Drosophila melanogaster: one gene and its partners. The protein of the gene in region 1 interacts with the protein of each later gene in a biochemical or structural test. Each region holds a gene or a part of one and is shown on either strand. Other genes may lie near its edges.

Region 1 (7,957 bases):
TCTAAAACTAATTAAAGCGTGTGTTTACGAGTAGGGGTAACTAATTAGAATACTTCGTATGTACAGACTGCAGACCCATCCCGTCTGCAGCGCCATCCGCTCATCCAAGGAGCCGAATGCGGATGACAAAGGGCTGCCTGCCATCGAACGACGACTTCGATCGAGACTAGATCTTAGAGACACGCGCACAGGCTTACATTGGTCGTATAAAAAATATATGAAGCTATACACTGTTTGTATCACTAACGAGGGTTCCGTTGCATCCACTGCATCCTACACGCAGGTCGAGGATGCGTGCGACACACTGGCCGCTGACGCCGCAGCTGCAGCCGCCGAGGAGGAAGCCGCCGATGCGGCCTCCAGGTTGAAGTCCTTGCTGCGGCAGCACATCTCGCAGATGCGCTTCGTGTCCGGATTGAGGAACGTGCAGAAGCTGCAGCTCCACTCGTTCGGACTGGTCACAATCAGCTGGGGAGACACATTCGGCGGCTGCTTGGGCACAGCTCCTGTGCGTTGCCTTGACCCGGTTCCCCGATTGTCCACGACGGCCGTCTTCAAGGCGGACTTGACCTTCTTAACGCCGGCACTGCTGCTATTGGGCAGAGGACTGGGTGCAGGAGCTTGCACCACCTTAGCCTCGCGTCGCCCCGTACCGGATTTTTTATCTAGCGTTCGCGCCTTCTCTCCGTTTGTGGGATTCGTGGCCTCACGGCGCTTCTCCGCCGGAGGAGCTGCACCGCCGTTCGTTATGGACAGCGAGCCTAGGTCCAAGCTCTGCACCAGCAAGTCCTCGCGGTCACCCAGGTCCTTTGTGTAGCCCGATCGCTCGAGGTTCTTGAATACATAGTTCCAGGACTCGAAACTGCCGACACCCTCCTGCACTTTGGGCATGAGAGGCGGCGAGCTACTACTGTCCAGGGCCACAAATCCGTCCAGACTAGCCGAGTCGTAACTGTTCAAGTCCGAAATGGTGGTGGGTATATCACGTTCAGTGCCGGACCTCTTGGCCGGTGCAGTCCGACTATTCCGCTCCTTCAATTCCTTGTGCATCTTGCGATTATTGTCCATGGTGCTCTGTTAAAAGGAGTAGGCAACGATATGTAACCATTATATAAGTATGATGATGTTGTTAGAACTTACTTGCTTTTCCGCTGATCGCGGATGTTTGTCAGTCGAATTAATGCCACCCGCCTCGGCCAAAGCCCGCATACGGCTGCTCTTCGGAACCGGCCGCGCATAGATGTACATATCCTGGCCGGTCGGCGGCGGCGCTTGCGGTAGCGTGGTGGGCAGGTCGTAGCCCCCGTAGGTGGCATACATGGCTACCGGATTCCCCCGCATGCTAGGCTGCACCTGACCTCTCAGCTCGGCATACTGCGGATCGTAGTCATGCGTCCCAAAGTCATGCTGGGTCAGATGCGCTCGCTCGTCAAAGTCGATGAGGTGGTGATCCGGCGGATAGGTGCTCTGACGGTGCTGCATAGCCGCCAAGGCAGCAGCGGCAGCAGCAGAAGTGTTCGGCTGGCGACGGTGCAAATCGCAGCTGTGGGCTGGGCCCGTCTTTCCCAGCGTGGCGTACATGTTGGTGTGCTGTCCATTGCCATAGAAGTCGGCGGGCGACGCATACGGGGCATTCAGCTGGCTGGAGATGTTGTACGGCAGCGGATAGCGGTTTCCCGGTGCATTGTAGGCTCCAGTCACGGCAGCGTAGGACGCACTGCTGCCCATGCTCAGGCCATCTAAGCAGTCATAGGGCGCCTCGTAGACGTGCGGCAGCTGGCACTGCTGTTGGAGCTGCTGATCGAAGGAGTGACGGTGAGGCAGATGGGCCTGCGGTTCCTGGTAGTGATCCAGGCTGCGAGAATGCGTCATCAGCGGACCAGGCAGGTGCGGTTGCTGCGGCGGAGGCGCTGGGTAAGGCGGCAGATACTTACCCGCCTCGTTCAGCCCATTGGGATGCAGGGCACAAGTGCCGGAACTGCTGGGATGATGGGCAACGTTGTTGCTGCGCATGCCGCAGGCAGTTGGAGCAGCACTCACCACATTGCTATATGTATTCTCCTGCATCGGTGGCTGCTCCATTCGTACCCGTTTCTCACTCAGCTGCCTGACCATCTCCTTGATGGTCGTGGAAGTTCCACCCACGTAACGCTCGCGGAACTGTAGGATGTCCTTCCAAGTGCAGACGTATCCCGCTGCCGTCACTCCCGCGTAGATGTGCTTCATAATCTGGCACTCCACGTAGGCGGCCATTGCGTCGCGCGAAACATTCGTAACCTGATCCGGACAGATGGGACCCTCGAGGACGAAGGTGTCCTCGGCAGCCCGGCGATAGCCCATGGCCAGGAAGAGCTGTTCGGCGTCCAGCAGGCGGGATTGGATGTCGTGCTGAAAGCATCCCGAATAGGTCTGCAGAAAGGAGGATTATTCAGTTAGAAGTGGCTATTTAGTATACGTCATCATCCTATATCCACCTTGAGAGTTCGATACTCCTTTCGCCATGGCTTCGTAAACAGATTGTTGGCATACTGGCTGATGGTCTCGAAGGCTACGATGGCGTTCTGGGCCGAAAAGTCGGGCAGCTCGAGCACAGACCTCCGCAGGACATGCCCAGTTTCCGGCAGAAAGAACTTGCGATCGTGCTGCACCACGCAGAGGAACTCCTTCAGGCAGCCTGTAAGCGCGGATTGATTAGTTCCATTTCCATTTAGGACAAGGACAAGGCGGCGAACTCACCCTCCAGCTGCTTGCGTTCCTCGAGCTTCTCTATGCTCTCCTCCGTCTCGAGAAACATCCAGTGGCGCCGGAGAATCTCATCCCACAGATCGGGGATGAGGTCGTGCGGCACGAAATCCGACATCTCGGGCTAAGGACTCTCATTCAAGGCGCCTCCGGCTCCTGCAAAACAAGAACACAAGGTTACACTACGGCGAACATCTCGAGAGCCCAGAGCGCGCCACCATGGCTATTGATTTTCCACCAGGGGTTGGGTGGGGATGCACTTCTCTGGCATGAATCACCAGAATCACATCCTTCCCCGCATGACGCACGCCGTCGCGGCATGCAGCAAACAAACAAATAAACAACCAACTGGGCTCGAATGGAGTAACAATAACTGGACAGATAAGAGCAAACAATAGGCTCCATTGGGGCCCGTCATCGATAGTGGCATTCCCGAGTCCTTATCAGTTTCCTCCCAGCCAGCGGAGCACCTAAGCAACCAGTACTTGCCCCTCGCGGACAAAAACAGTTGACAACAAAAAGCTCACTTGTGATTACGTCTACTGTGCTCCCCGATGCAGTGGAAGCTGATTCATTGGCTGGGAGAAAAGCTGTTTCAGGGGATTTCGTTTACAATAAATACAAATTTTTTTTTGTTAATAGAAATTACAAAGCTAAAACTATCACCATGACCAAACACTAAGTAGAGTCCATCTATGGGGTTTCAAACCAACTGGAAGCCCTTTATTATGATTGCTAGGTGGAGATCCAGGAAGACTCTGCAGCATACTTTGTTTATTTGCAAAGGCGTATCTAATCTAAGGTTTATTTTTGAAATAAAAGATAGCGAATTGTATAGAAATCAACTAAATGTGGGGCTGCTCGTAGCTTTGCTTCGGTGAGTCATAAGGTCAGAAATGCTAATCATGTACAATTTCCAGGCTTACCTAATATACGCGAAAATAAGTAGAGTAAATAAAGTGAGCGCAATAATGGAGCTCACTTGTTGTGATGATAATAGATAACCGGAAAGCAAGCTCCAGCCCTTTACTATCTATGAGCTTTACCTGGCAAATACTACTCCCAACTGGGTATCATCTGCTCGCTGACCCGAAGGAAAGCCCACAAGTGCTCGATAGGAACCCAGAAGCCTCGCGATTGCATCGCTTGCCCTTATCTCCCCCCTCGCCAGCCGGAGAACCGAGCCACTTGACTGGCTAACTCGATATTGATATCGGCTATCGTGGAGCCAGAGATCGTCCATTGGCCTTTGGCATTCGATACTGAGAACACCGGAGAGGCACTACGCTGAGCAACCTTGGGGAGTGACTCACTTGGCGTTCGGCGCTCCAATCAGAATGCGAATGAGCAGCAAGGCGGGCGTGGATAAACAAGTGTAGTGCAACTGAGCAAACGGCGAAGTGGTGACAAGAGGAGTCGAATAAACGCGGTGTGCGGAGAGAACAACATTGGCAGTGATAAGCGTATAATTATCAAATATATCAAAACAAACTTATGCAAGCCACATAAACTGACTTCCCTTCTCATCCTCTATAATTTATTTACTTATGCAATAATTTCGACGCTACACATACTGACAATTTCCTATTTAGTTGCTTGGGTTCAAGTCGTACATAAGCATATGTACATATGTACGTACATACATACTACTAGTTAACAACAATATTGAAATGGGAATTTAAACAGTCAGTCGAAGGAACGCACTGTCAACCGATTAATGAGCTGAGCATTACATGTATGATGTCCTGTAATAATGAATCAATTGAATATGCATGCAACTGATAGCTTTCCCAGTCCAGTGAATTTTAATTAATGTTTTCCAGCGCCGAAACAGCACACATTGTTGGTGGGAATGGGAATGTGAAGTGGGGGAAATGGGAAAGCGGGCCGAAGAAAGTGGAGCTTTCGTGGGAACCCATAAATTCAGCGGCCAAATGAAGCAAGATGATTGCAGGGCGGATTAAAATCAATAGCCAGCATGCAGGTGGAGCAAGTGGAGTGGGCCGAATGGCAATGAAGTTACTTATTTACTATGAGTACCACAGGCACATTCGCACTCAGGTGGTGATAAATTCATAGCATTTCGGCTGCCCGTCCGTCTGCTAATTGAATTTTCAATATTTATTGCCTGGCCAGGACACATAGCGTACATACCACTACCGAATGCCTGCAGCCGAGTGAAAATGCCCCTCGATGGGCAGAGAATTTATGTGCTGACATTACAATGGACGCAATATGGCAGGGATTTGAGGCGTTTATTGATTCAGGCAGCACTCCAAGTCGAAGTCGGCATCGAAGGCATCGATTGGCCAGGACGAGGATGGGCCATGCAACAGTTTCGGGCCATGTGCCCTGGACAAAGATCCACCGAACCACACACTGGCCGTCAGGGGCGATTATGCATATACATATACATATATATGAGTCTGCCTACCGGCAACCGATGGCAGGGTGCTCCCATTCTTATTTTCAGCAATGCGGCACTAAATTTAGCAAATAAAAGCTCACCCGGCTCGTTCTTTGGCAGCCAGAAAGCGAGCCACTGCCAGGGGCATCGAAGCGGAGATACCCTGTACCGGACACCTAATAGTTCCTACACAAACTTTTCTCTATGTGCACTCCATCAAACATCTGGTGCCTTCTTGTTCACTAGCTCGCAGCAGCGCACGTGATACCCTGTAATTCGAAACCAGGAAGCATCCGCCTTGGACTTACGCAAATTCCCAGTGGTCCGCTGGTGGCTCGGCTCTCATTTTTGCATTTTTCTTCGGAAAAGTCCGCGCGCTGGAAAAGTCAACACAAGTTCACCTCTCCAAATTCGTGCGTGGGTGTGGGCGGAAGGTGGTGGTAGGTGGATGGTGGGCGGGAGTGGGTGGTTGGCGATTCGAGAGGGGGCGGTGCGTGGGTGGGTTTATTTTTAGCGCTGCTGCGACGGAAACGCGACAAGTCGGAGATTCTGCTTCCGCAATGTTGTTGTTTTTGCAGCCGTTATTATTAACAAATATTACGCTATCCACGGGCTCTTCTTCTTGCTTGTTTGCGTTGACAAATCTCGTTGCGCTTTCACAATCACATCAAATCGTGGGAAAACTGGTTTTCCCCCCGTTTCTGAGCGGTTCACTCTTCGGTTCGTGATCGTTTGTGTCCGCGGGCAATGGAAAGTCTTTGTTTTTCACACGCGTTTATCACAACAGTAAATAAAATATCACTTTAGCCAGTTTAATCAACTCGGAGAGCAGAACTTTTAACCGTGAGAAATAACCGCATACTGAAGTGGCCAAAATCTGGGAAATCGCCATGGAGGAACTCGCGGAAAATACCAAATCCATGGCATGCAAGCTTTATTATCAGTGGCGTAGAAGAGGGGCCTTATCTGATTAATCCTCGCTCTATAATTTTGAACCGCTTGCCATTTTTAAGGGCTCAGGATAATGAGATTTGTTATTCTTCCAGATTAATGTCATTAAATTAAAATCTTATGTTTCCCCCTTATGTTTATAAGAGTAATCGCAAATATTCAATGAAGAAAAGAATATTTTATTTTATTGAACTGCCGAAATCAACAAATTAAACGAATGTAATTAATTTAAATTTTAAATTATAACACCCAAAAAGTGTGATTCCCCGAAAATATCAGTTATTATACAACGTTATTTCGGAATTTGTAGAGGTATTTTCTGGCGCTCCCGCTGCGGTCACACTGAACACGAGTTTCGTTTCGGAGATTGAAAGAAATGGAGATTGACTTGGGATTTGCGGAAAAGAGCGACAATGGCGCCTGGCTGAGCAACCGCTACTTTCCCAGCAAGCTGGGAGGCCAGCCCGCATGGCTGGAACTGGAGGCCTTGCCGCCCACGTCGCAGCTGCAGTGCAGCAAGTGCAGGGCACCCAAATCCTTCCTGGCTCAGCTATACGCTCCCTTCGAAGACGAGTACAACTTTCATCGGTCCATCTATGTGTTCCTGTGCCGGAATTCCGACTGCCAGGAGGCCCAAAATGCAAGGTAATCCCTTCTAGCTCTGAAAACCAACTTGCAACCTAATCTTACCCATCTTTCCAGCAATTTCACAGTCCTCAGGTCACAGTTGCCGCGAAAAAATAAGTTCTTTTCGGAGGAGGAGCCGAGCGACGTGGGTCAACCCCTGGTAGGAACAGCAGCCATATTTTCAGAACATACTCATCATAATATGTTTTCTTAGCCCGCCGTTCCCTGCCTAAAGAAACTATGCGCCGCCTGCGGTTGCCATGCTCCTCACGCCTGCAGCAAATGCAAGGCAATCCACTACTGCTCACCAGAGCATCAAAGGGCCCACTGGCCACAACACAAGCCAAACTGCGGAGCACCAGAAGTAGCCACTGAGAAGCCCTTAACACAAATCGTTTTCCCAGAATTTGAGATTGTAATGGACAGCAACCCCGTGGAGTCTGGCGAGGAGGACAAGGACGATGAGGCTCGCTTGGCGGAGTTCCAGGAGCTGGAGTCCAGCGGGAAGACGGGCGACTTGAGCAATGTTTCCGAGGCGGAGATGGACAAGTACTTCGGAAACTCGGCGGCCGCCGATGACAAGACCTTTCGTCAGTTCAAAAAGCAAACAGCAGCCGAACCCGATCAGATCGTGCGCTACAAACGTGGAGGCCAGCCCCTCTGGATCACGAATACCGTCAAAACGGTGGAGGACCAACTTAACAAGCTGCCCAATTGCATTGCTTGCGGAGGAGAGCGTCAGTTCGAATTTCAGATTATGCCGCAAGCGCTGACTCTTCTGGAGGACGAAAACCTCGACTGGGGCGTCCTGGCCGTCTACACTTGCGCCAAAAGCTGCCCCATCGACGGCTACGTGGAGGAGCTTCTCATCAAGCAGGACATTGTGGCGGAGGATCAGAGTTGACATTAAAATGCGTACATTTAAATTTTATTCTTGTCAATTACGAAACACGTGAACATTTACTTCAGCTTGATGATGGGGAAGTAGCTGTGTTTGGAGAAGTCGAACTCTGGCTGCCGCTTGACTTCCTTCTGGTGACCGCGAGCCAGCACATTCATCACCACAAAGTTAGTCCGTGCGATTTGCAGGAGGTCCAGCATCTGAAATTAAACGAAACGCATTTTAATCCAGGAAAACCAATTCAGAACTACCATTGACTTACCTCCTGATCTGGGTTTTGAATGCTTTCGAGAACATTGCGGGCCTGGTCAAAGTGCTTGGCCGCATAG
Region 2 (6,230 bases), on another chromosome or scaffold:
GTGCTAATGGCCATTAAAAACGCTAATGACCACAAGCACTGAGCAAAAAAGGGAATACATTTCAATCACAAATGAGGTTGAGATTGATGGATAAGGATGCACGTTGGAAAAATATTGAAATAAAGCGGCATTAAAGAATATGCGCATTAATGCTGTTAAGAAATCAGCAATATTTGCTCATATAGATGATGGATTTCGTCATATACATAATTCTCATATGTCTTCTTTTCAAAAAAAAGTGAAAGTAATTTCGAAAAAATTCAGAGATGCGAACGTGGTTCCTTTGGAAATGAAAACATTTGACCCAATTTTTGTGCATTATTAGTTTTGCTTAAAACGCAGTTGCCTCTTTCATGTTTCTAACCCAACTCTAGAAAATTATCGCGAGTACATCAGTTTCTTTGAAATGAAAAAACTAAACTAAGTACTACGTTTCATAGCTTCATCTACATACAGTTCTTTGTTTTGGTTTTTTTTTTGGTTGTGTGTAGTGGGAGGGGGGTTGGGTGGTGTTCTACGGGCGAACACCTTCACCCTGGGGAATCGGGAATTCTCGTGGCGTAGAGAACAAAGGACAAAGACTTGCAGTCTTCTGGCATTAAACCCACCGCATCCGCCTGCTCATCGAAGACCTCCGAGACCAACTGCGTAAGTGAGAGAACAGAGACAAAGGAAACAAATTAACTGGTGTTCGCCAAGGAGCCATGGTGCACTTACCGCGTGAACCTTGAGGAAATCGCGCAGCGATCGCTGGCAGTAGATGATGTCGTTCTTCAGCTCCAGCGGCAGCACGTAGTACTTCTCCATGTAGTACCTGAACTTGGCGTACTTGCGCTCCTTATGGTACTTGCTCATCTTGTTCCGATTATATTGACGCTATATATATAACGACGGTTATCGTACGAATCACGCACGCGACTGATTTCGGATGCGTTGCAATTGATGCACTTGTGGGAATTTTGGGCAAATTTTCGAAAGGGAGTGGGGTGGGAATTGAAACCGAATGTGGTTAGAAAATGTGATAGATTGATCACTACATTCGTAACTGATATCTGGCCGAGGAACTTCGCAATTTAAGATAAAAATGTGTTGCATCAACTGGTGGCGTTGCCAGATAGATGAATACATGTGCTCGTTCTCGTAGCGAATTTTTAATCTTAATATGCGTTTAATTATGAATTTGGAGAAATAAGGACGATGTGCGTCAATAACTTCGATGACGGAACGGTGGAATTTTTGAACATGGGGAAGTTTTTTAAAAATTAATTTTTCGTTATTTAGTGTTCCAAAATGCACGCAAGACCATCAAATTAGCGTCGATGAGTTAGAGTCGATGGCGGAACGGTGAAATTTTTGAACATTGGAAAGTTTTTTATTATTTTTTTTTTTTTTATGGGTCAAAATATGAACAAGCCTATACAAAAAAGTACCCATGAAAGTCATTTATGTTTGGTGTTGTTGACAGAGCGTGTTCCGGAATGCCGTGCTTATAGGCTTATGTAGGCCTAATTAAGTAATGATCCTTAAAAAATTCATCAAAAATTTATCTACAGTTTTGCAGAAAATCGTCTACAAGTGGAAGGAGTTTAAATGCCACCTTCTCCAGTACTACAGCCAATAAATATCATGAACCGCCCTATTAACGATAAGAGTTCTCCGCTGACTTTATTTTATTATTATTTATTTTATTACATTGCACTATTATTTATATTTATTATTTAACTCAGCTCACAGAGCGTATTCCGTCGTACGGCATCTCAAAAGTTTCGTAATTTTATTTATTATTTATTCAAAAAGTTTCATTACAATTTGATAGACAGTTTTTTTTTTTGTTACTACACGTGTTCTGTATATCTACTAAGCCATATATTTAATATATTATATTAAATAATTGCAAATGGTGTGGATGGTATATAAGTAAGCGCCAGAATTTGGAACCTCTCTATGCTCGCACGGTCACACTGGCCGATAACGAAAACATCGAGGCAACAGCTATACTTCATTTATCACTCAAATCTGGCAGCACTGCATTGTGTTTCGGCAAAAAAGAAAGTTGTGGTTTTCTAGGAATTTCGAGCAAAATGTAAGTAGAACTACAAAATGGGCTTTAAATTGTGTGCAAATTCGCTGCCAGCCTGGCTAATTCGCCACCGTGATGTGAATAAGTGCTGTGCGGCATGACGCCAGTGACGCCCCAAATTCGCATGCAATATGGACGACGGCGTCGCTTCGCCTGGAATTGTGTGCTTTATTCCCGACCCAGCGGCTTTTGCTGTCTGTCCACCCGGCCACCGCCCACCCGGCTTCCGGCCACCAAGTCCAGCCGGTTAACAAGCCCGATTGCCGGCTAGAGTTGTACAAAACAAGTGGCGTATAGAGCTTCCAGAGATTTCGCTGACAAAAAAAAAAGAAAAACGACGTGGTGCCGCCTCGTGCTGTTATCCCTCCTTTTCCGGCTCATGGCAAGCTCTGCAGTGGAAAAGCGCCGTCCAATTGGGACTGTCAGCTCCTCCGTACGCCACACCGAAGCAGGACAAATGTCCTTGTCCTTTGGCCATCGGAACATTCTCGCCGACTGCCATGCCATTCGCATTTTGTGAGGTTAAACATGAATCGCAAAAAAAAAAAAACGGCAATGAATTTGCTTCATGTTTCTTCTGCCGGCGGCGACGTCGGCGTCGTCGTCTGTCTGCGTCTGTTCGTCGTCCGTGTGCGTGTGCATGTGTGGGTGCGTATGTGTGTTAGAATTCGATTTGTTATTTAGAATATATAAATGCGATTGGCGATTTTCACGTGAATCGCGACTGCTGCGCTGTTCGCCAGCCAGCAAATGAGCTAAGAAAACGCTGCACTATTTGTATGTCGGCATTTTTATTTTTTGGCGCGCTTCGCAGCGTCCACAGGTTCTCACCAATACGAGTGCATGCGTGCGTGTGTGTGCTTGTAATTTGCCGGCGTTACAGGCGGCACTCAAAATAAGGAATTTTCCTGCTTTTATGGGCAGCACCAGTGGTGTGATGCGCAGGAATTTCACAATCTTGCCATCCTTAAAAAGTTACTCATTTCAGTCTCCAAAAGGAATGAGTCATCAAATGCCTTTTTCAGCGTTTTACGAAATATATCCATTCAAATTATTCACCTCATTTCAAATTGATGAAACTGATCTTGATTCATGCTGAAAATATGGTCATCTTTATTGATGAACTTGGTAGTTTGCTTTAATTCTTTTAAAAAGTACTTCTATTTGCTATATGGCCATTTCATTCAAAACCTATATTTACCAATATTTCTTCTCTATAACTTCTTAAATTTGTATATATCTTTGATTACAGTTCGCAGTAAATCATAAACAAATGTTATGCTATATACAGTACAAACACAATAACGCGATCAAGTTTCTTTAGTATGAAAATTTTGTTTACACTGCGCTTTTCTTCGAATGTTTTGAATGTCTCCAATTCTACGCTTAATATTCCGAAACTTATGCCAAGCGTTTATGCGCGCTAATTATTTGCGAACAGAAATGTCAGCATTTATTATTCACTTTGGTTTCCTATGCTCGGGTTTAAATTAGTATTACCCAGGTCAATTGTGGGTCAGAGCCGCCGTGGGTTTTCCGGGTCTCCTTTTGTGTGGCAAACTGTTTTGGGCTGCGCATAAACGTGGTGGGAATGTATGTGTGCGAGTATGCAGAGTATATCCTTCCGCCTCCCTGCCGCCTTCTTGTTGTTGTTGTTGTTTGGTGCGCCTGGCATTTCTGCTTACCTGCACACACAGCCAGCCATACCCTGTGGCCATCTCGCTCTGGCTCGGCATCTCGGCCTTCTTATCCTTGCGGGCTCAGCGGGAGCGGCAGCTGCAGTGTCCTTTGTCGTTATCCTGCTCGCTCCTCGCCGAACAGCTGGTCGCCGTCCTTGGCGGGCTTTGACGCATCCATTGTGCACGTCACATTTTGGACGGCTCGCAGGACGGGCAGTCAGTCGCCTGGCGCTCGCCGAACCAACAACATCCTAGCCAACACATTCCGCTCCTGTTCCTGTTCCTGCTCAAGCTCCGCTATATATATATATATTTAAATATATAAAGTAGCATAGTAGTTGCAAGTTGCTAACCAGCCAAACGCAATTGTTCCATCTGCAGCTCACCGTTCCAGAAATTTTGCATTAACGAAGATACCGAGTGCTTAGAAGGATGGCTCAGGAAGGTCAGGATATACCCACATTCAAGTGCGTGCTAGTCGGCGATGGCGGCACCGGCAAGACCACCTTTGTCAAGCGGCACATGACCGGTGAGTTCGAGAAGAAGTACGTGGCCACACTGGGCGTGGAGGTGCATCCATTGATCTTCCATACCAATCGTGGCGCCATCCGTTTCAATGTGTGGGATACCGCTGGCCAGGAGAAGTTCGGCGGGCTGCGCGATGGCTACTACATTCAGGGCCAGTGTGCCGTCATCATGTTCGATGTTACCTCGCGTGTCACGTACAAGAACGTGCCCAACTGGCATCGCGATCTAGTCCGCGTCTGCGAGAACATACCAATCGTCCTCTGTGGCAACAAAGTCGATATCAAGGATCGCAAGGTGAAAGCGAAGAGCATCGTCTTCCACCGAAAGAAGAACTTGCAGGTAAATAAAGAAAAGCTGAACTTTTATTTGAAATTTTGTTAACGTTATTGTGCTTGTGCCTTCTTTTTTGTCAAACAGTATTACGATATTTCTGCCAAATCGAACTACAACTTCGAGAAACCATTCCTTTGGCTGGCGCGCAAGCTGGTTGGTGATCCCAACCTGGAGTTTGTCGCCATGCCAGCCCTGCTGCCGCCCGAGGTTAAGATGGATAAGGATTGGCAGGCGCAGATCGAGCGTGACTTGCAGGAGGCCCAGGCGACCGCACTGCCCGACGAGGACGAGGAGCTATAAGCCTATTTGTAGTTAACTTAGAGCGAAATCCGACTTGCGCGAAAACACAAACACACACACACTCAAACACAAAACCACAACACACAACACCACACCGAACATAGAACACTGAATCACAGGCACCGTATGAAAAGGCGTGGCAAGAGGGAATGAAGGATTACGGATTAGAGGAAGTAGCATTAGCAGTAGTGTACTATCCGTACACTATTGGATTTGCCAGCCTATGTTCTTCGATCGATCGTTGGGAAAATCTACAAACAAGCCCTTCTTAATACGTCGATTGTATTTAAATTTTAGATCCCCAATTCATTAATAAGTCGGTTATAATTGATTTTTTTTTTGTTTGTTTCCTTATACGTTGGCTCTTGGAAAAAAAGGAGTAAGTAAGTAGTATTGTCATTAAAGTGCTAAAGCAGCAGGCAACAGCAACTTAATCGAAAACCAAGAGAAATAAATAGTCGCAGAACGTATTTTTTTAAAACTTGCAACACCAATGTTCTTTTCCACCCAAAAAAAAAAAGGAAGAAAAAACCAAGTTACTTCAACAAAAGTGTGAATGTTAGAAACGAGCGAGACGGCATGCTCGGAGCGAGCGAGAGCGCAATAGCTGGCCAATGAACTGAGTCCCCCCAAAGGAAAATTAATACTATTGAAAAAAGAAAAGAAAGGAAAACACTGGAAACTATGAGAAAATAACCTATAGACAGGCCGCCGAATTCGCATCCACATGTTATTAATCTAAGAACTAAAGAAATAAAAAATAAACGTCGAAGAAAAAAAAACTAAACGAACGGAGCTGGATTTGCATTTGAAAGATGATAAGGAAATGATGCTAGATTATAGTTATCGCATACCCTGTAATTGAATGGGTAGCACATATATTCCGTTAGCTAATCGTCTACTGTTTACATTTCTACATTTGAATACACTGTTCTTAATGAAACTCCTCGGATTTAGGGACACTTGAGGCAGCAGGCAGGGAAAACTCCGGTGAAGCGATCCTTGTTGCCGCAGGTGACCTTCTGCTGTCCACAGCTGAAAAAAAGATATTGTAGATGGCTTGGTTAGAATCATGTGGAGATCGGGGCAAAGTTCAGCTAGGAAATATTTTGTTTTCTTCATGCAACCTAAGTTGCTAATTAAGATCGCTGTCATGATGCACTTACTCCTCCACGATGGTCTTGAAGGTGTCCGTGCAGATGGCCCGCTTGAGGCACTTGCCATCCTTGCCGAAGTCCACGTAGTCCTGTCCGCGTCTCAGCAGCGGCAGATACTTGAGAAAGATGGTCTCATCCTCCGAGTTGCGGTAG
Region 3 (4,695 bases), on another chromosome or scaffold:
ACCCTGGGAATTGCCACCCGTGAGTAAAGAAGAATGTGTTGTTTGTTTAAAAAAAGACTCATAAATTATGGCTATCACGTTTGTTGTTTGCATACAAAGTGGTCGAAAGCCAGAATGCATAATTCAGTTAGAAGAGTCGATCTGATATTAAATATATGATATACTTATATGAAAGCAGAAACCACCATGGGCAGCGATGTAAAGGATGAAGAGAGCTTCAGGAGCAATTCCTTGCTGGGGCGATACCAATGGTGAGTTTTGACTTGGAATCGGAATGCATCTATCCATTAATAGCATCCTGGAAACCATGACAGATATGTGCTTCTCTCCGTGGCTCAATAGCCGATTTTGCCGGCAGCTGGCTGGAAAGGAATCGCACTACTACCAGGCCAAAACTGAGATTCGTCAGTTTATTCGGAAGGTGAGCACCTCCAACTACTCCCTCCGCTTATTCACTTACGAATCTCTTAACCCCTTTAGATAATTGAGAGAAAGTTGGCCGAGGACGAAATGGGAGCACTACCTTCCATCCAGTCCAATGATAAAAACCTATTTCTAAATCTGGTCACGGATTTGATGAGACGAGGAGTGTTTACCCTGAAGAATGTTGAGGATGAGTCGAATATCATCGTTTTTGGAGCTTTTGAGACCACGGCTAATGCAGTGTACTACACCCTGATGTTGCTGGCGATGTTTCCGGAATACCAGGAGAGGGCCTTTGAGGAAATAAAGACGATATTCCCAAACACAGGAGACTTTGATGTATCCTACGCGGACACCCAGCAGATGGTGTACCTTGACCTGATCCTCAACGAATCCATGAGAGTAATACCCCCTGTTCCTGTCGTATCCCGACAAACGTCTCAGGATCTGAAGCTGTCCAATGGTATAGTGGTTCCCAAAGGGGTCCAGATCGCCATCGACATTTATCACATGCACAGAAGCAAAAAGATCTGGGGTCCGGATGCGGAGACCTTCAACCCAGATCATTTCCTCCCCCACAACATCCAGGACAAGCATCCGTACGCCTATATACCTTTTACCAAGGGCATTCGAAATTGCATAGGTAACAGAGTGATCGCTAATTTATGACCATTGTTTTAGCTATATTCTTATTATTTCCTTCTGTTTAGGTTGGAGATATGCCTTAATATCGGCGAAAGTTACATTAGCCAAGTTATTGCGGAATTATAGGTTTAAAACGAGTTTTCCCTTCGAAAATCTATACTTTGTTGAAGATATTACGATGAAGTTGAAATCTGTGCCACTGTTGGAGCTCCAAAAGAGAACTTAAATGTTTATAGCACTTAGTGATTTTAAATAGATTATTAAAAGTTGTTGAATTAATGGGTTCTGTGAATTATACCAATATTAAAAAATAATAACATCTACCTTTTATAATCTTTTATTAACTATTAATCAATTATTCCATTTTTTAAATTTATAGCATGATTTATGCTAACGTCTTTCGTTGAAAAGTTTAAGCAGCAATAATTATTAGTACATTTTCCGAAAATGTTGGTGTTAGCGTTTTTTTAACAAATTTCTTGTTTCATGAATTCGAATTAAAAAAATACTAAAAAAAAATACTTTGCGGATTTCCGAAGACTACTATCACACTAGCATTGACTTACAAGCCGGGCAACGAATTGAAGCATAAACAAACGATGTCGCTCACCGATGTCTTGGAATTGAACAAAACGGAGTTGTTCGCGAAGATTCGCAATGGGTTGCCCGTGGTGCAAAGGACTCAGAACCTGCTGGACTGCAAGGACGATCTGCTCTTTGCCTGGCACGCGAAGGACAGCTGTCTGTTGGTTCGCAACTGGCGCTCATCGCTGGCGGCAAAGGTGAATATCCAGTTCCAGACACTGATTCCATCGAGCTTGGTGAGCCTGGAGGTGGACCGCGTGCTGGCCTCCAACGAGGGCTCCCTCGTGGCACTAAGTGGACCGCGCGGCGTTGTCATAATGGAGCTGCCCCGCCGCTGGGGCCCCGATGGATACTACAAGGATGGCAAGCCAGTGATCACCTGCCGCACGTTCGGCCTGGACACTCAGCTTTTCCTAAAAAACCCGCACTTGGAAGTGCGCCAGGTCCGCTGGCATCCGCACTCCGTGTCAGACTCCACGCTGCTCGTGCTGCTCAACAACAACACGATTCGAGTGTACAATCACTCCAAGTTGCGCCACGTGTGGCAGGTGGGTCCCCCGGTGCTTCGAAGTGGGGCCAATAACTCGCTATGCGACTTTGGCGAGCTAGCCGTTGACTTTGACATCGCTCCTGCTGCAAAACCACGTGTCACTGAACCAGAAACAGCCGGCAATAACGAAACCACTTTGGATAAGAGCAACAAAACCCTTGTGGCGGCCAAATCGCTGCCGAAACAGGAGAGGATAGAGTGGCCCATGGTTGTGCTCCGCGAGAATGGAAACATCTACATTTTGATGACCGGCGTGGATTCGGAGAATACGCGCCTGCAGGGCCCCGTTACCATAACGCCACAGGCACATGACAATTATGGACTGGAGTCCTGTGCCCTAATGATTATCCCATCACTTCCGCCGACCATTGTTATAGCTGAATCCAATGGAAAGCTTCACCATGCTCTGCTTATGGAGGCGGAGGCCACTGAGCATTCTTTCAATGAGGTTGACGACTCTGTGTTGATTGAACCCGCCGAATACGTTGTACATGTACTAGAAACTGTCGAACTTGAGCTGGGAATATCTGCACCCGCAACTGGAAAAGAAGGAGGCAACTGTCCCATATACTTAAAGCGGGATTTGATCAATGAGCTTCGCTACTTTGCCTACCACAACGCAGGACTTCATGCCGTTACGGTCAGCTTTATCGCAGAGCTGCAACGTTACTTGGAAAGCGAGTCCGATGAAGATCGTCTAGAGCTGGCGGTCTCTGCAAGTGCAGAGTACATTCTGTGCACAAAATTCGATTCCAGTGAGACGGTGAACGCAGTCTTTGGACTTGCCCTATTACAAATTCCTGCCGGTATAGTTCTACTGCTGGGCAGCGGTCAGGTGATTAGCCTTAAGCTGGTAATTGATGCCCAGCTGTTGGTTACACCTAATGAGAATAAGCCAGTTGACTCGGAAGTGTCTCAGCAGGAAAGTGGGCCACCGTTTGTCGATACGATTAAATCGCTTTTGCAACGTAGTGTTAACCAGCCCATCTTGGCGGATAAACTTTCCTCGCCATCCGCCCAGGAGAGCTTCGAACTGCTTAACCAGGCAATCGAGGTGCTTCGTGAGCAGTACCTTAAACGACATGACCTTGTGCGCGCCGCATTTACACGCCACATCAACCAGATCCAGCTGAAGAAGGAACAACAGCTGCAGGAGATCCAAGACCTGGAGCAGGAACGCGAACTGATCAGCGAGCGGGCCCACAAGCTTGCCGAGCGCTTCGAGGAGATTAGCTACAACCAGGAGCTGCTCGTCCGCAAGTGCAACGCTCTGATGCAGAGGGCCAATGCCTCACTACCCAATAGTGTGATTGCGGAACGGGAGTTTTCGCAGGAGGTGATTCGACTTAATAAGGTCACCCAGAGCCTGGCCGCTGGACTGGAGACTGCTAAGAAGACGTTTAACAAGCAGCGCTACCACATTGCCCAGAGTCAAGAGGACCTCAAGAAGAACGCGTACGAGCTGCCGGAGAAACAGCACCGCACTATCACCGAGATACTTACCCAGCTAACCGGGGAGATCGATCGCCAGATCACCGACGTCAAGCGCATTAATAAAATCGTTGGCATCTAAATTCGGATTGGGAAGCACGCTCTTAAGATTTCACCACGTTTTCGTGATAGTAAAGCCGTTGCGTAGAACTAAAACGTATTTTTAATAAACATGTCAATTAAGTCCTATTTTCGTTAGCTGGCTTCTGTTTTTTGTATTCGATGACACTTTAATGAGCATACGTCAGCGTTTTCTGCTAGACGATCCTTCATGAAGACACAAAAACATTTGATACCCATGGGTATTGTGCTACAAAGTCTACTACAGTAAAATCTATTCTTGACGTACTGTCCCATTTTCCGGATTATAGTTCAAAAAGTAAAATAATAGTAATAAAATAATAATAAGAATAAAATAATGAATAATAATAGTAGACTTCATACATCATAATTCGGAAATACAAAGTATTGTAGTACTGCTGTAACATAGTTTTCCAACTTTCAGCTCCACTGTTATTAGAATACCACAAATTTTTCTAGTATTTGGTTTTTAAAGTATCGCATTTCGATCGTTACTCATTTTCTCTGCAAAGCAGAACCCATTGAAAACGTAATGGAAAAGCATTTGCAAGGCTAATGACACTCGCCCCAAGAATTGAGGGTTTCGATAGCTATTGCGTTTTAGTGACAGTCTAAAGCGAAGTTCGGCGGACGAGAGATGACGTTGATACTACTGGCTGCCCTGTCGAACATCTACACCGGGATGTTCAACTACGTGAAGGCCAAATTCCCGTTCGTGATCGAGGCCGCCATGGTGACCCTGTGCTTTGGCTCCATCGTGGGTCGATTCTGCATAATGGTTTAGAAGAAAACTGAGGAGACTCGAGACTGTGCGAATCGAAGGAACTTTATGTATATTTATATGGATGTGTCTTGTGGCCTTATGTGAATACAACTAAAAACTTAAATCTAAACCTGTGGCTTTTCGATCAGGTGAATGT

What was found. Proteins that work in one complex are often made in the same cells at the same time.
Region 2: the proteins of tamo (region 1) and Ran form a complex in vitro, tested with the Drosophila melanogaster proteins (one study listed by BioGRID).
Region 3: the proteins of tamo (region 1) and mbo form a complex in vitro, tested with the Drosophila melanogaster proteins (one study listed by BioGRID).

The regions. Positions count from the first base shown.
Region 1 is NT_033778.4:24,127,540-24,135,496, forward strand, and holds the start of tamo (tamo), read right to left. Parts: upstream 6,013-7,957; 5' UTR 5,458-6,012; intron 4,301-5,457; exon of another isoform or gene 4,056-4,300; intron 2,899-4,055; 5' UTR 2,861-2,898; coding exon 2,737-2,860; intron 2,675-2,736; coding exon 2,475-2,674; intron 2,410-2,474; coding exon 1,141-2,409; intron 1,075-1,140; coding exon 274-1,074; 3' UTR 1-273. Other genes in the region: Zfrp8 (zinc finger protein RP-8), read left to right, coding at 6,477-6,745, 6,803-6,887, 6,942-7,631; Naa35 (N(alpha)-acetyltransferase 35), read right to left, coding at 7,688-7,828, 7,891-7,957. UniProt on the Drosophila melanogaster protein: Has an essential role during oogenesis and embryogenesis, perhaps in modulating the levels of nuclear import of additional proteins. Modulates the nuclear import of dorsal (dl), Dif and male specific lethal 1 (msl-1).
Region 2 is NC_004354.4:11,144,339-11,150,568, reverse strand, and holds Ran (Ran), read left to right. Parts: upstream 1-1,988; 5' UTR 1,989-2,083; intron 2,084-3,972; exon of another isoform or gene 3,973-4,153; 5' UTR 4,154-4,191; coding exon 4,192-4,626; intron 4,627-4,704; coding exon 4,705-4,920; 3' UTR 4,921-5,717; downstream 5,718-6,230. Other genes in the region: Lint-1 (l(3)mbt interacting protein 1), read right to left, coding at 609-644, 718-855; CG15201 (uncharacterized protein), read right to left, coding at 5,874-5,955, 6,087-6,230.
Region 3 is NT_033777.3:12,675,974-12,680,668, reverse strand, and holds mbo (members only), read left to right. Parts: upstream 1-1,616; 5' UTR 1,617-1,667; coding exon 1,668-3,776; 3' UTR 3,777-4,182; downstream 4,183-4,695. Other genes in the region: Cyp313a4 (cytochrome P450 313a4), read left to right, coding at 1-19, 179-251, 295-421, 481-1,066, 1,134-1,294; CG43630 (uncharacterized protein), read left to right, coding at 4,413-4,559; Gnmt (glycine N-methyltransferase), read right to left, coding at 4,664-4,695.